Nothobranchius furzeri: one gene and its partners. The protein of the gene in region 1 purifies or fractionates together with the protein of each later gene. This does not show direct contact. Links are inferred from orthologs where the notes say so. Each region holds a gene or a part of one and is shown in the gene's direction. Other genes may lie near its edges.

Evidence for each region. The genes of interacting proteins can lie anywhere in the genome.
Region 2: the proteins of lgals3a (region 1) and ece1 purify together in Homo sapiens (affinity purification with mass spectrometry; 3 studies listed by BioGRID and IntAct, counting the BioPlex papers as one, with this or other methods). This does not show direct contact. The link is inferred for Nothobranchius furzeri from reciprocal best matches to the Homo sapiens genes LGALS3 and ECE1.
Region 3: the proteins of lgals3a (region 1) and solute carrier family 12 member 6 purify together in Homo sapiens (affinity purification with mass spectrometry; 3 studies listed by BioGRID and IntAct, counting the BioPlex papers as one, with this or other methods). This does not show direct contact. The link is inferred for Nothobranchius furzeri from reciprocal best matches to the Homo sapiens genes LGALS3 and SLC12A6.

Annotation. Positions count from the first base shown.
Region 1 is NC_091758.1:19,583,249-19,588,273, reverse strand, and holds the start of lgals3a (galectin-3), read left to right. Parts: upstream 1-2,004; 5' UTR 2,005-2,152; intron 2,153-2,520; 5' UTR 2,521-2,523; coding exon 2,524-2,538; intron 2,539-2,664; coding exon 2,665-3,372; intron 3,373-4,212; coding exon 4,213-4,301; intron 4,302-4,390; coding exon 4,391-4,547; intron 4,548-5,025. Other genes in the region: gmfb (glia maturation factor beta), read right to left, coding at 1,306-1,308. UniProt on the Homo sapiens protein: Galactose-specific lectin which binds IgE. May mediate with the alpha-3, beta-1 integrin the stimulation by CSPG4 of endothelial cells migration.
Region 2 is NC_091743.1:76,780,357-76,785,381, forward strand, and holds the start of ece1 (endothelin-converting enzyme 1), read left to right. Parts: upstream 1-1,843; 5' UTR 1,844-2,045; coding exon 2,046-2,171; intron 2,172-4,117; coding exon 4,118-4,256; intron 4,257-5,025. UniProt on the Homo sapiens protein: Converts big endothelin-1 to endothelin-1.
Region 3 is NC_091742.1:80,340,163-80,344,877, forward strand, and holds the start of solute carrier family 12 member 6, read left to right. Parts: upstream 1-1,533; 5' UTR 1,534-1,574; coding exon 1,575-1,794; intron 1,795-4,715.

The DNA of each region.
Region 1 (5,025 bases):
CAAATGGAAGCTGCTTATACTTGGCAGTGAAACAGACAACATAATGAACCGAGAAATCCTGAATGAACTGTAAACTCGCATGCAGCCAAGGCTGCATAAGTATAATCTCTAACCCTGAGGATTTAATCCAGAATATAAAAACACCAATCTGAACAGGGTTTTATTGCTCTGCACCTTTGTCACGCGCACACACACACACACACACACACACACACACACACACACACACACAGAATTACATTACTTCGTCACCAGGAGGAGAAAAGGAGAAAAACTCTTTAGTGCAGACAGTGAAATCTTTAATAGCACCTTCGTGAACAGATGGAATGGTTGGAGTCAGGATTTCACTCAGCTCTGAGGAAGATTTTACAGATTAAGAAGAGATTTATGTCTGAGACAGGGTTCATGGAGAGAAATAAGAAAAAAGGATGCACCATTGGAGAAACTACATTACAGTAAAATAGTTCACGGGGTTACTTCTTGTATAGAACAAACAGGAAATGGTTTTGTGTTATCTAAATAATAATGTTCTACCACTCCGAATGACACGAAATGAGAAATAACCACCCAGCATAAATTTATATTGAAAAGAGTCAAGGTGTCACGACACAGTCCTAACGACCCGAAGGGAAATTCATCAGAAAAAGAAGGCGAGTTAGCGTAAAAGCAGCTCCCAGAAGCCAGGCATGTTAAAACCCATCATCAGACAAATGAATGATGCGTCAAGCTGCCTACGCACCATAGCAGGAACACGACACCACGCACTTCACAGTAAAAGCATCTGGACTTGAAAATTTACCCAAACTAGCCGATTCAACGGTAAAAACACAATAGCTGGTCACAACCTTGAAACAGCTATTGCTAATAAATTATTAAAAGGATATTATATATTTTTAATCATCAATTATTCATTTGAGTGGGTCGAATACACAAAATACACACATTTGAATAATAAGTAATCAATTTCAAATTTGACAATCAACAGGTAATGATTAATACATAAATTGTCAGAGATTATTTATATAAATAATGTGTGTTGATAAATGATCATGCATGTTGCTTTCCGAGGCCAATAAATCTATTTTATTCTGAAAATACTGACCGGAAACATATTCGATGTGCGTTGACAAACTTGCCACGATACACAAAAAGAGGGTGGAACTAATGCTAGGCTAACAAGCTAACAATTACAATCTGCGACTTTTCATAAATAATTCGCAGAATTAATTTGTGAAGAGTTCGTTATTAAAACACAAAAATGACAACGACGCCACTCCACGTTCACAAGCAAACAGAACAACTCACCATTGTTGCTGCGTAAAATCCCTCCTAACGCTTCTGCTGCTGTTGTGAATGGCAGGAACGCTTTCTGTGTTTTTTTTTTTCGTTTACTTCATATCATCTTGTGACTGGTTAGACCAATCCCAAACAGGCACCCCTTCACTTAAACCCTGCCCAATACATTCAGCTCAGCAGTAAAACGTTATTTTAAATGATACAACCGCACGATTAACACATTGTTTAAATAATCCAGTTTAATTTCACAGCATAAAAATAAATATTTACATTTTATTCTTGCATATATATCAGGAATAAGGAGCTGTAATCATTCATTCTTCATTTACTCAGTCTGGCTGTGATCGATTCTACTGGTTACACACGCGCGCCCGCACACACACACACATACACACACTTTTTTTCCCCATTTTCTAAACGTTGTAGTCAACCTTTTTGCTCATCCACGTGGGCTTGTATGTATTTATATTTGATATATAATGTATATAATGTACATTATATTTATATGTAATGTGTGTATTTATATTTAACCCAACCGAACCCAACTGTGTAAAATGTGCATTGTAAATAAAGTTAGATTGGTTTATGAAAAGTTTTGCCCCCCCTCAAAAAAAACCCCCGCTGTGGACGCTTGTGTGCGCGCGCGCACCGGAACGCACCCACCCCGTAATATACGTCATCAGTTAAGCGCGTGTGCGTCTTTCCTTTTCAGGAGTTGTAGTTGTGAAAGCACATCTAACGTTAGCTTACACTTGTGAGCCTCGGCAGCCACAACAAGCAGGTTGAACCGTTTCCAGTGCTGGATAATTCGTCGCTCTTACCCTCCGTGGTTTAAGGAAAGTCCAGCTTTTGTCCGGTATGTTCAAAAATCCGCTTTAGTGCATTTTACTGTACTCAGATCTGAGCTAAACAAGCGTAAACTACTAACAGTTAGCTGGTGTTAGCTAGATCGGTAGCCAAGTCTGCAACATATTACTAGAAAATTCGTTCCTGTTTCCTCGCTAATATGCTATTCACTGTCATGGCATTTGTGTAACTTTCCACTGTAATATATTTAAGTAATGTCGAGTTGTTTGGAGCCTGTCAAAATGGATTCTGTTAATCTCCACGGTTGTAGGATGGAAACATTTACTCAGAGCTCAGACCTGCCCAGTGATTCTGACACTAGCTTGTTAAAACCGGTTACTATAAACTCACGAGAGTTGTTTTTGTTCCTTCTTTTAGATCATGGCGGATTTCTCGGTAAGTTGAAAATGTTTACACTCACCTATTTACGTCCCTTCATATTGTTTTTATTATTAGCTTGTAGTTGAACAGATCTGTTGTTGTGGGTGGAGACGGCTAATTGTACTTTCTCTCCCTCTCTAGCTGACAGATGCTTTAGTAGACGAACCATCAAACCCGCCTAAGATAGACAATACCAATCGTTCTGTACCAGACAGAAATCCCCCGCCTCATTCAAACCCAGGATGGCCTGCTTCTGCCCCAGGAGCTCCCATCCAGCCCACAGCACCTGCTGACTTTAGTGGCGGATTGTCTGGCCCAGGTGCACCAGGCTCATTCTCATATCCCTCAGGTCCTGGAGCACCAGGGCAATACTCCGGACCTCCTTCAGCACCTGTTGGGTTCCCTGTTGGTCCTGGTATACCTGGGCAGTACCCACCTGCACCAGGAGCTCCAGGCCAGTTTCCCTCAAGTCCTGGGGCACCTGGGCAGTTCCCTGGCCAGTATCCCCCTGAAGGAGTTCCAGGACAATTACCTGGAGGCCCTACTCCTTACCCAGCTGGACCTTTTCCTTCTGGCCCTGGAGCTCCTGCTGGACCATATCCAAATGTGCCTTTTCCTGGTAGTCAGCAACCAGGAGGAAATGGGATGTACGGACCAGGAGGTCCAGGTACATTCCCAGCTCCAGCTGGCCCCAGTTCATTTCCAGCATTCCCTGCTGGTGGGTTTCCCCCAATGCCACCTGGATCATGGGGAGCACCGGCAGGAGGTGGTTTTCCTCCTGCACCTGGCCCTTTTGGGTCCAGTCCTATGAGTCCATATGGGGGGCCAGCCTGTCCAGGAGGCACATTGGTGAGTACTTGTTCTTCTTGGAAACATTTTTCTTGCTTGCTGCACTTCTTATCTGGTGTATTTCTCATTTGGTGTTTGGTGGCAAGTCAAGGTGGTGAGCAGAAACGGTCACGTTCATGATCTGGTTTTGGTGGCGGCTGCATTTGGGTTTTATTCCTTCGTCTTTGAACACTGCTCGGGTGCAATTTTTATGATAAGCAGAAGTAATCTCTTTTCAGAAGGAATCATAGAAAAATCTATTTTTGTCTTTCAGCCCAGATATAATCCACCATTTTATTGAAAAGTCGGACAAGGACATCACTTCCAGCTTCAAAGCGTGGTTTGATTAGTGCCAAAGACTGACTGTATTCCGTATCTGATGGCAGTTGTGTTCAAATGTAAACAATAAACTGGGTGTAATTCTTTCAGTGCAATATTAAATAAGTTATATTTTTACAGAACATCTATTCCCTAATGATGAAAGTTTACTCGGATATTTTCTATCATTACAGGACAGATTCAGATCTGAGGTGTTGGAAATGTAATCGTTAAACTGAACTTTTTACTTTTTCATTACTTTGAGAAGTCACCGGGTGTTGAAACAAATGAAGAAAGTTATGACTCATTCAGGTGCTGTGGTAATAATGTTGGCAGGGTCAAAGTTTTGATTAATGTTTAACTGAATTCCCTTTATTTCCTGACAATAAACTTGTATGTTACCAAGTCAAGAGTGTTGTTAATAAAGGTTAAACGCGTGTGAATCTTCCCTGTCGGATGTCATTTATCGGGTAAAAACTGTTTTTATTTATATATTTATGCACAAAGTGCCTGTCTCATTTGTGTTGTAAATGTTTCTTGCAGATGTTGCCGCATGATCTCCCCCTTCACGCTGGAATCATGCCGCGACTTTTAATCACGATAATCGGAGAGCCTGTTCCTGGTGCAGTCAGGTACACGTTCACAAATAGCATTCAGCTCATGGGACTGATGTCAGATGTGGTGTTAGGGGAGAAAAACAACTATTTGTTTTCTTTTTCAGGTTCAATGTTGACTTCATCAAAGGTTCAGATGTGGTTTTTCACTTTAACCCTCGGTTTCATGAGCAAACCATTGTTAGAAACTCTAACTTAGGAGGTTATTGGGGGCCCGAGGAGCGCGAAGGACCCTTCCCCTTCGTTGAGGGACGCCGTTTTGAGGTAAAATCAAAACAAAAAGCTCAGGAGAAAGAAATATAATTTTATTTTTACATCTGTACTTTATAATAAGAATACAGCAAATGTAACGGAACACAGAGACTTTTGAAATTTTATAAAAGATGTAAAGGCAGCTTTTTGAGAGTGATGCTACGGTGGTCCTCCATGTTAGATGTGATTCCACCACGACATGTTTTATGCAGGCGTGAGATGCAATATTTATTTACACCTAATTCAGCAAGCTTTAGTTAGATTCAGTATCAGAAGTGTCATCTCAGCAGCTTCCTGACGGGCCCGCTGATCTAATAATTACAGAATTAAGGTAACTTTTATGTGAACTTCCTATGGTAGTGGTGGTTTTTTTTTTTATTAGTGAGGGTCCTGACTTAAAGAGCAAGTCACCACCCTGCCTGAGTCTTTCTCCACTCACACTTCTTGTTTGAAAAAAGCACAAGGAGGTGTTGCCTGGCAGACCAGGTGG
Region 2 (5,025 bases), on another chromosome or scaffold:
GGGTTATACTAATGATGTGTGTCATCAGGCATATTGGTTTATATTAAACAAGTTATTTAAGCGGCATATATTTATTCCAGAACACGAGTTATGTCAGTTATAACAATCCATCGCAATGATAAAGGATTTGTTTATAAACTATTAAGTGACAGGAAGTTCTGTCATAACACAGGAATTGTTATCAGCTTTAAAGGTGGATTGTGTATTGTCTTTATCAGATTATTAAGGAAGTATTAAGAATGATATACTGCAGACCTCACTGAATTAGGTTTGGTTTTATAGTATAGCATCTTTCACTCTGACTAACCTGTTTCTTTTCATGGTTTTCCTTCAGAAACAAAACCTTCAAGTTAATAAAAATAACAGCAGTGAAATCAGAGTGGGTCGGTAGAGCTGGCGTCTGCAGCCTGAGGCTCTCTGGACCTTCCACAATGGCTCTTCATGTAATAATTGCATCGAATTTCCATAACAGAATCACTAGTTTTAGATCTGTGTATGTTTTTTACATAATCTTCCACACATATAAACATCCAGAAAAATTTATAGTCTCCTCTTGCAAAAGTCCTATTAGTATTTTTTTTACCTAACAACGGAAACGAAAATAAAAAAAAGATTTCTGACTTTAATCTCAGAAAAAATCTGAATCCTAAATATAAGAGACAATGTTTTTCATTGGCCCTATCCCTCTTCCATAGTTCCATCCATCAATCTTCTGAACCCGCTTTGTTCGCGGGGGGGGGGGGGGGGGGGCTGGTGCCGGGGTGCACCCTGGACAGAGAGCCAGTCCATCGCGGGGCAACACAGAGACACACAGGACAAACAATCATGCACACACACTCACACCTAAGGACAATTCAGACAGACCAATTAACCTAACAGTCATGTTTTTGGACTGTGGGAGGAAGCCGGAGTACCCGGAGAGAACCCACGCATGCACAGGGAGAACATGCAAACTCCATGCAGAAAGATCCCAGGCCGGGAATCAAACCCAGGAGGACCTTCTCGCTGCAAGGCAACAGCTCTAATCACTGTGCCACTGCGCAGCCCCTCTTCCATAGTTATTTTTCTAAATGTAAAAGCTGTCTTTTTTAAAGATCCTATAGCAGTTGCAGCTCTAAACAAGTTTTATTCCAGTGGACGGTGGGGAAAAACTGCTCTTTGGAATTGTAAAGGTTGCAGACCCTGGTATCAGCCTTGAATACTCTAAACTGGTGCATCACTGTTTAAATCAGTTAACAGGAAAAATAGCTTCTTTTGCGTATGTTTTACTTCCTATTACACAAGTCTGAGTCATAAAGGAGCTCTACCTCTCTTTTCCCTTCTCTGACACGTTTTGCTTTTCATCTCTAGAAACCTGACACAGCATCAGTGTTTGCATGTGTCACTACTGTAAGGGGCTAAACCAGAGAGGAACTGGCTGGCTTGCCGATTGTGCAACAGGAAACAATCACAACGTGTATCTGGAGGAGGAGCTTCTCTTTTGGGCTCCGCCCCTTTGTGTTTTGTGTCCTATAGAAAGAACAGTGGGTGTGAAGTGAGAGACACCCTCCCCAAATCTGAGTGAAACCACATTGAGGAATGTGGTTGCACAAAGACACACACACGCGCATGCACACACACTCACTCAGCCATGTAAATCGTTCTAGTCAGAGCTCCTTCCTGTTTTTCACTAGTTCCGTGTTCTCTTGTTCCGTGTTTGCATTGACTCGGCTAGAAAGATCAAAGAGAGAGAGAGAGAGAGAGAGAGAGAGAACCCACAAGGAGTTCTTACTACATCTCTTCAGGTGGACATTTCTGCTGCGTGTGTCTGCCTAAAGCCATGGGGGCTGTCAGAGGGGTCGGGGGGAGCAGAAAAGTGCATTCAAAGAAGAAGACTGACATTTTTCCCCCTTCAAAGCAAACCTTGCTCTAACCAGAACAACCCGATTCTCTTTTTTAACCGATGGAATTTAAAGGGCCAAGCAGTTGTGAAGCCTCAGGGACTGCTGAAGAGTAAACACCATTCTCCAGACATCCTACTGGGAATGGATAGGGCTTGAAGAAACATGGAAGCATTGAGACAATCTGTTCTTCATCTGATTTTTCAGATGTCCACATATAAGAGAGCCACGCTGGACGAGGAGGATCTGGTGGACTCCATGGGTGACGATGTCTACCCCTCGTCGATGCAGGTAAGAGCTCAGCCAGGAGGATGTTGTGTCAGGCACCTAAAGCACAACGATTACAGCAAACTTCAGCGAGGTCTGAAAGTGACACATCTTGTTGTTTTAAACCGGACCAAACGTCTTTTAGATTATTTTTGGCACCTTTGATGTAAAAAGAGTTTTAGCTGTTAATGTTAGATCGAATGAGAGATAAAAATGTGAGGATAATGACATTTTTATGGCCTAAATTGATTAATTTTGTAAATGTTGCTTAAAGCATTCATATTATAAAACCTTTTACGTAAATGACCCAGTTTATGCTCTGACTCTTTGGCTTCTATAAATGTATTAAAGGTGTGAAACACTAAAAAACTTTTCTGATTGTAATCAGTCATTTTGAGTTACAACATGCAGGCCGAGCATGAGGATAGTCTCCTACACCTACCTCCTGCATTAGCTTCTGATAGAAAACAGACGGTGAAACTCTAGGATTAGAAAATCCTGACAGATCTATGTCACACTGTCACTTAACATTCATGGTCTCACCCATCTGGACTCGCAACAGGAAGGCTGTTGTTGGTTCAGTGTCCAGGAAACAACAGAGAATGTCTCAGCAGCTAGAAGCTAACTGTTAGCATTAGCAGCTTCACCACACGACAGAACTCCTCCAGTGTGTTATTGGTGGAGATAAAGCATCCACGCTGCAAGTCAGTAGTAGAGTCGCTTTGCTGTTATCCAATTCAGAGATTTCCAAATATCAGGAAATAGGACTCCAAAACATTCTGCCTGAAGCTCAGCTGTGAAGTTGGCAACTTTGAGTCAGAGAAATGGTGCCACAGTGTGTTTTTTCCCTCTGAGATTAACTTACAAGGCAGTCTTTCCTAACAGAAACGACAGCAAATTAAAGGAGTCTTCCACTCCTTTAATTTTACTTTTGTCTTCAGTGTCAACTATTGTGATAAAGTTTTATAATAAGTCATAGACACGTAACCGTTTCTCTACTTTTATTCACATACAGACGTTGGGAAATTATATCTTCAGCGTCTGTAATTAGTGAATAATTTCTATGACTAGAATTAAATTGGTAGAGCTGTGTGTGTGTGTGTGTGTGTGTGTGTGTGTGTGTGTGTGTGTGTGTGTGTGTGTGTGTGTGCGTGTGTGCGTGTGTGCGTGTGTGCGCGTGTGCGCGTGTGCGCGTGTGTGCGCGTGTGCGCGTGTGTGCGTGTGTGTGTGTGTGCGTGTGTGCGTGCGTGTGTGTGTGTGTGTGTGTGTGTGTGTGTGTGTGTGACATTTTTACATCAGAAGTATTCAAATATGACCCTGGGGACTTAGTGTGCAGAGTGTGTTATTAGGGCTAATCAATAAGTCAGCTGCTGCTGGCCGTGACCCGCAGACGCTCCGAGCTGCTCTCACAGCTCCTCAGCGCGCTGCACTGGTCCTGGTGTCCAGGTCTGAGATAATGCTCAGATGTTCTGATGGGAATCTTCTCTTGATTGATCTTGTTACCTCTGTGATGTTCTCTGTGTGTAACGTTTAAATCGTCTGCGCACCTGCATACGTCAGGGTAATTCCAGTTTGTCAGAATGACCAACAGCCTTGAGATTTCAAAATAAACTATCGAAAACAGAGAATATCTGGTTAATGCAACTCCAGCCCACATTTGACTTTTTTGCCTCCTTGGGAAGATAGCATGGCAGCACTTGCAATGTTATGGTAAGCAAAGAAAGAAAGGTTAAGAAATGTACAACTCTATTATTATTAATATTATTATTGTTGTTACTATTATTTATTTATTTATTATCAATACTGAAGTGCCGTTTTGGTTGTCTCTGATATAAAACGTTTAGTTTAGTAAAGGAAAATATTAGGTTCCTCATACATTTTCAGGGTATAAAGATGTAGATTAGATAAGGTTTACTTAATGGGTGTGCGTGTGTGTGTTTGTGCGTGCGTGCGTGTGTGTGTGTTTGTAGGTGGCTTTTTTTCAAGGCAGAGGTACCACATGCTGGCAGGACAAGACACAGCGAGAGAGGAAGCTGCTGTATCTGGTGTGCATCCTGTCACTCGTCTCGTTCGTGTCTGCCATCGCTGCTGGGCTCTTCTACAAACAGGGTGAGTTCTTGTCTTTAGCCTCTCCCATCAACACAGCTGAAAACAAGCAAGCTGGTGGAATGATCTTGTTTTTATGTGTTTCACATATTAAATACTACATGACCTCTCAGCCCTGTCAGAATAAATTGATTCTGATGAGCTGAGTGTAAAAAAACGTGTTGCTAACGTAATTTTTACTTCTTGCTGCTCAAATATTTTGCTGTTAGTCAGATGGACATTAGTGTCCCTCTTACCTCACAAGTTCCCAAACCTTTTACGCTCTGATCCACTGAAAAACAACAAATCCTGCCAATCCTTAATGAAACAAACACAAAATAATCCCAATTCAAATATTTTTTACCGAGACCACACCTTCAGCTTTTCCTCAGAACAACCTTGAATCTCTTCCATGAGTGGGTCATTATGGAAAGGGACTTATGGATTTACCATGACATCCTGGCGGCTTCTCATCAGTGTTTGTTTCCTTGATTTTACCGTGGGAAACCGAGTGCCACTTCCTCCCATTCAGCATCGCTTGTCAGATCACACGTTCAAATAATAGAAGGAACAAGGATGAAATCTCTGTGGGGAAACGCTAACCTCATCACTGCTCTTTTTCCATGGCTGTCCTTAAATGGGCAGGCTTTGTTACAAACCACTAAGTGTAAACTCATCTTTGTTTGACGATAATACGTTACAATACTTTCAATTTTCAAAACACTGAAACTTTTCTTGTTAGTAACAGTTTTCTTTCCATCCAGTTACTTTAAAGAGCAAATTGCAGGTTAGA
Region 3 (4,715 bases), on another chromosome or scaffold:
TTCAGGTACTCGTTAGGTCCCTGTAAGGTCCCAGGATCTGGTCCTTTGAGCTGGTCCGAGGAAATGGAGACACATGCCGTAAAGGTCCAGTAAAATGACCTGGAAGTTCTGATGGTGGAAATGGCCCAAACCTCGTCTGTGGCGTTGTGAGAGACTCATTACCGGTTATAACATGTGCTCGATTACGCCTGCCTCCAAAAGTGTTTTTAGGTTTAGGGGTCAGTTACTATTTCACATGTAGCCAGGCTGGTGTGGATCACCTGTTTGATTAATAAAGTTATTATTCAAAATCTGCATTTTATATTTATTTATTCAGATCGTCTCTGTCTGGTTTTGCATCTTCTTCTCTGGTCTGGAACAGAAAATGATGCAGCAGAAACAGTAGAAATCAAGTCCTTTTTGTTTTCTACCTCCTGCTTTCATTCTGAGCAGCGCGCTGGTCCCCAGCAGAACCTGAAGCAGCATCCAGCCCTGCCTCTGCATGCAGAGCCAGAGCTGGATCTCTCTGGCACAACCGGTTGGAACCGCTCTCCTTTAATTATTAAATTATTGTCCAAGGCTGAGGAAAAAGAGGGAAAAGAGTAAAGCAGCCGTCTGGCTGTTGTTCTGCCAGGATTCAGGTGTTAGGTGACTCTAGTGGGACATCTGGGACATGAGCTACGCTGCTGCTTCACACACCTCCGTCATTTGTGACCCATTCACTAAAAGATGGAAATGAACCTGAAGCTTCTGAGATCATTGATCGAACGGTAACAAACAGAGAGACTTCTGCTTTAACGGTGGATGGATGTTTGTTTTATGATGCAACAGAAGAGGGTCTGTTGATCTTTTAAATAGATTTTTTTCCCAGAAAAGCTCATGACACACTTCTTGTTGTGCCTGCCTGATTTGACGAGAAACTCGGGATCACAGACGCTTTAATACTGAAAAGTTTTTATTTCGCATTCATGGAACTAGTTTCTAATGCTGAGTCATCTCTTTGTGTTTTCCTCTTCCTGTCTCTTTGCTTTTGCTGCACCCGTGTCTTTCCCTCCCATGGTTTTTACACCACTCTTGTGACGATTGATGATGCGTGATGAAGGTCACTTTTCAAAGCAAGGTGCATGTCAGACACATTTAGATACGTCTAAAGGAGAAAATGTAAAGAGGAGGACAGTTATCAGCTTTCTGTCACCAGAAACCGGCCCAGTCAGCTTCTCACAGTTACTTTACTCTTTCTTAACTGCTAGAAATAGTTTTGACACATTTCTGAAGAAAGCCGATCATCTGCCGGCTTCACTACCATCACACACACTAAGAGTGTGTCGTCACAAATAGAACTTTTCCCAAACCTTCAGTCAGAACCCAACCCGCTCGCTCCCATGGAGTGTTTTAGCATACAAAAGAGAGCTAGTCGAGGTAACTGTTACCTCAGCATCAGCTGGGAGATAGCCTAGCTTAGTGCCGCTAATCTGGTCCACAACCCCCCCACACACACACACACCCCCACCCCCCCTCTTCTGCTTTATCCCATCTGGCACACACCTGCCCCCCCCCCCCCCCCTTTCTCTATTAACTTCTCCAAGCAAGCTGCCATGGCATCAGTCCGCTTCACTGTGACGCCCACCAAGGCCGAGGACCTCCCGGGACTGTCCGACACGTCGCCTGACCTCAGCTCTCGTCCGTCCAACCGAGTTCACTTTGGCTCCAGGGAGAGTGTCGATCCAAGCGATGGGCTCAGTGAGGCAGGTGTGGCGAACACCGCGTCGGGAGGAGGAGGAACCGGCACACCGGATCACTGCAGCATAGAGCAAGGTGAACGTCACACTTACTAACACAGACGGGGTATGAACCAGATGTTCTCCAGTGGAGCGTCTCACACTGGTGCACAGTTGTGTTTGCGACTGTAGCAGCGTGTGTGGTTGTGGAGGAGATTTATAAGGCTGTATTTTGAGTGTGGCAGAGTCATGATTACCTCCATGAGTCTGGCTTGTTTTTATGTACGTCCTCTCTACATTGTTGAGCTTTCAGTTGTGGATATCGACGAGAATCTGGTGATACGATGTTTATCACACGAGAAACAATGCCATACATCACAGTACTGAAAGCCAAATAATAAATGTCATTTTAAATTGAAAGACCAGGGTCAGACGCCTCCAAAACACTCCGTGTTCTCACGAGACCTCGTTGTTCCGTCAGAATGAAGGCGATTGAAATCTGCTGCCACCTAGCAGTCAGAGTTTGAATTACAGCACAAAAAAAGCTTGCATGGAAATTCTCCCACAAAAAATCAAATGTTTTAAAATGTTGATTCATTTCGTAAACCAAATATTGCAATATTTCAGTGCATCCATATATTTTACATCCCTGTTTTATGTGTTTGTTAATCAGAGTCCATGTGTAAATGAACCAAATCTTTCAGAGTTTTCTGCTCACTTGTCTGTGATCTTATTTGGCCGTGTGATGGCAGGTGTTGGGACTGACCCCGGCTTTCCACGGGAGCCGTCAGCAGCACGTTACTGCAGCAGCACGTCATAGCTGCTGATAGGAACCGCTGTGGTCAACAGAACCTTTTCCACTGGAGCCTTCGGCAGCCGTCAGCAGCGCGAGTCGGCCGCGTCTCAGGAGCAGCATGTCGCGGCCTTTACGCGCCGGTTCTATTTTCTACACGCGGCGCCTCTGAAACGGGTCAAGTTCGACATTTTTGGGGAAGGAAAGACCGGAAATCGGACGCGGAAATGGAGAGAAGCTTCCGAGATTTTCAGAATAAAGAATGTACTTCCTTCCGGTTGCTTTACTTTTAAAAAAGTTACTAAATGTGCGGACCCGTGAGAAGTTATCACCTAGCTAGCGGTCTCCTTTGTTTTTCAGGTCCGTATTGGCGATTATAAAACGGACAGAACATAAAACACAAACCATGTTGTAGTTTTCTCCTGCTTGTTGTTGTGTTTACTGACGAAGTCACTCGTGTGACTTCGTGCTCGGTCGGTGACAGCTGCTCCCCTGCTGCTTTGCGTCTCGTGGGAAGGGCCAAGCAGCAGCTTACGCGAGCAAGACGTGCTTCTGCAGTAACGTGCTGCTGACGGCTCCCGTGGAAACCCGGGGTGAGACATGAATGGTTTGGGCTGGAAAGAAGAAGTGTGTTCTACTTCTGTCACACCTGACTCAGATCCGAGCAGACATCCCTCCTCAGTCACAACTGTCAGAATGCAGAAGTTTGTCTAGTGGCAGAGTCCTGAGAAGTGCTTCATGGTGACCCCTCACTCATGTCAGTGAGCCAGTATGTTCCACCATACACATGACACAGGTACAAGTCAGTGGTCCGGCTCAGGGCTGCTAACGAGTTAACTGTTCTCATAGGTTTTTAGCCTCTAAACAGAAAAGGATTTCATTTATTTGAATGTAAGAGTGATTGGGTTTCTGATTGGTTGAGGGCTTCATGGAGTCCAACAGAAAAATGAGCTATAATTAAAGTTTAGCGATGTTGTTCAGGTTCCACTTCCACCTACAGCACAGAGGCAGTAGAAAACATCTTCTAGTCGTGTCAACAGGTGAGAGGGATGGCCTGCACATTCACCCGATTCAGAGGAGAGAAGTTGTATGTAGTTTATTTTTGGATGTGTGCAATAACAGAATTTCTAAAGGCGTGAGAGTGGCTGTGCTGATTGACTGGCTGTAAGCCTGAGCAGATGTGTTGTCTCCTCTGATCCACTTAAGCACTTGGGCAGTAGTGAGGATGCCCCACGTTGGTTGTTTAATAAGCTTCCATAAATAGAAATGGAGACAGCTAATCCGAATGTGTTTTGATCAGGTTGCTATACGCTGCGGTTGTTGTTAAGAGTCTGTTCATATTTCTGCTTTGGTTGCTGGAAAAGAGAAAAAAGCAGAAACGGTAGATCAGCAGAATCCGCTGAAATAGAAAACCCTCTTGCTGATGTTACTGAGGTCAAGGAGTCAAGGTCCTGAGATGTTCTCACAGGGGAGGAAGTCAGGGCAGCTGGTGGTTGAAATAAGTGACGTTACTGAAGCTGATGGACGCAGAGAGGCTACATCTGGCTGCACGTGTGCGTCAGTTCACCAAAAAGAAGAAACAGCCGGGTGTTGCAGCTTTGGGTGGGGACTTGTGAGGAAACCACGCCCAAACAGCAGTCGTGTTCCTGTGTGTTAGCCTGGGTGTGAGTGGTACAGTTTAGGGACAAACCACACAACTTTCAGTCTTTACTGATTTTCAGAAGACTAGCAGTACAAGCTAACCGACTGGTTCCAGCTGATTTTTGCATGACGAGTAAAGAATAAGGATCACATACCGTATGTAACAACTCTTATAGCCCCGGGAACCTCTGGGGATTTTAGAGTATTTCCCTTCATGGTATCATGTCTCCATTTCATCGGGCCAGCCCAAATGTTAGCCAAGAAATCTAGAGAGACTGTAGCTGAAGCTAAATAATTCTGCTCTGCAGGTCGGTCTAGCCGCGCTCCACGGGAGCCCCAGCAGGTCCACCATTGGCCATAGCGGAATGGTGTTATGCCAATCACAGCGCTCTCAGTTTGGTGGGTGCAAATGAGTGGAAACAAAGATGGCGCCAGCTCGTTTGAAACACCTTTGGCATCAACTTTGGAGTATTTAGACTTGGCTTTTCTTTGAGTCAAGAGCAGAAAGAGGTACTTAAGTCATTTATTTAGACAAAGGAGGTATTTGTGTCTTCATCAGTTTATGGTGGACTGAAATCCATAGC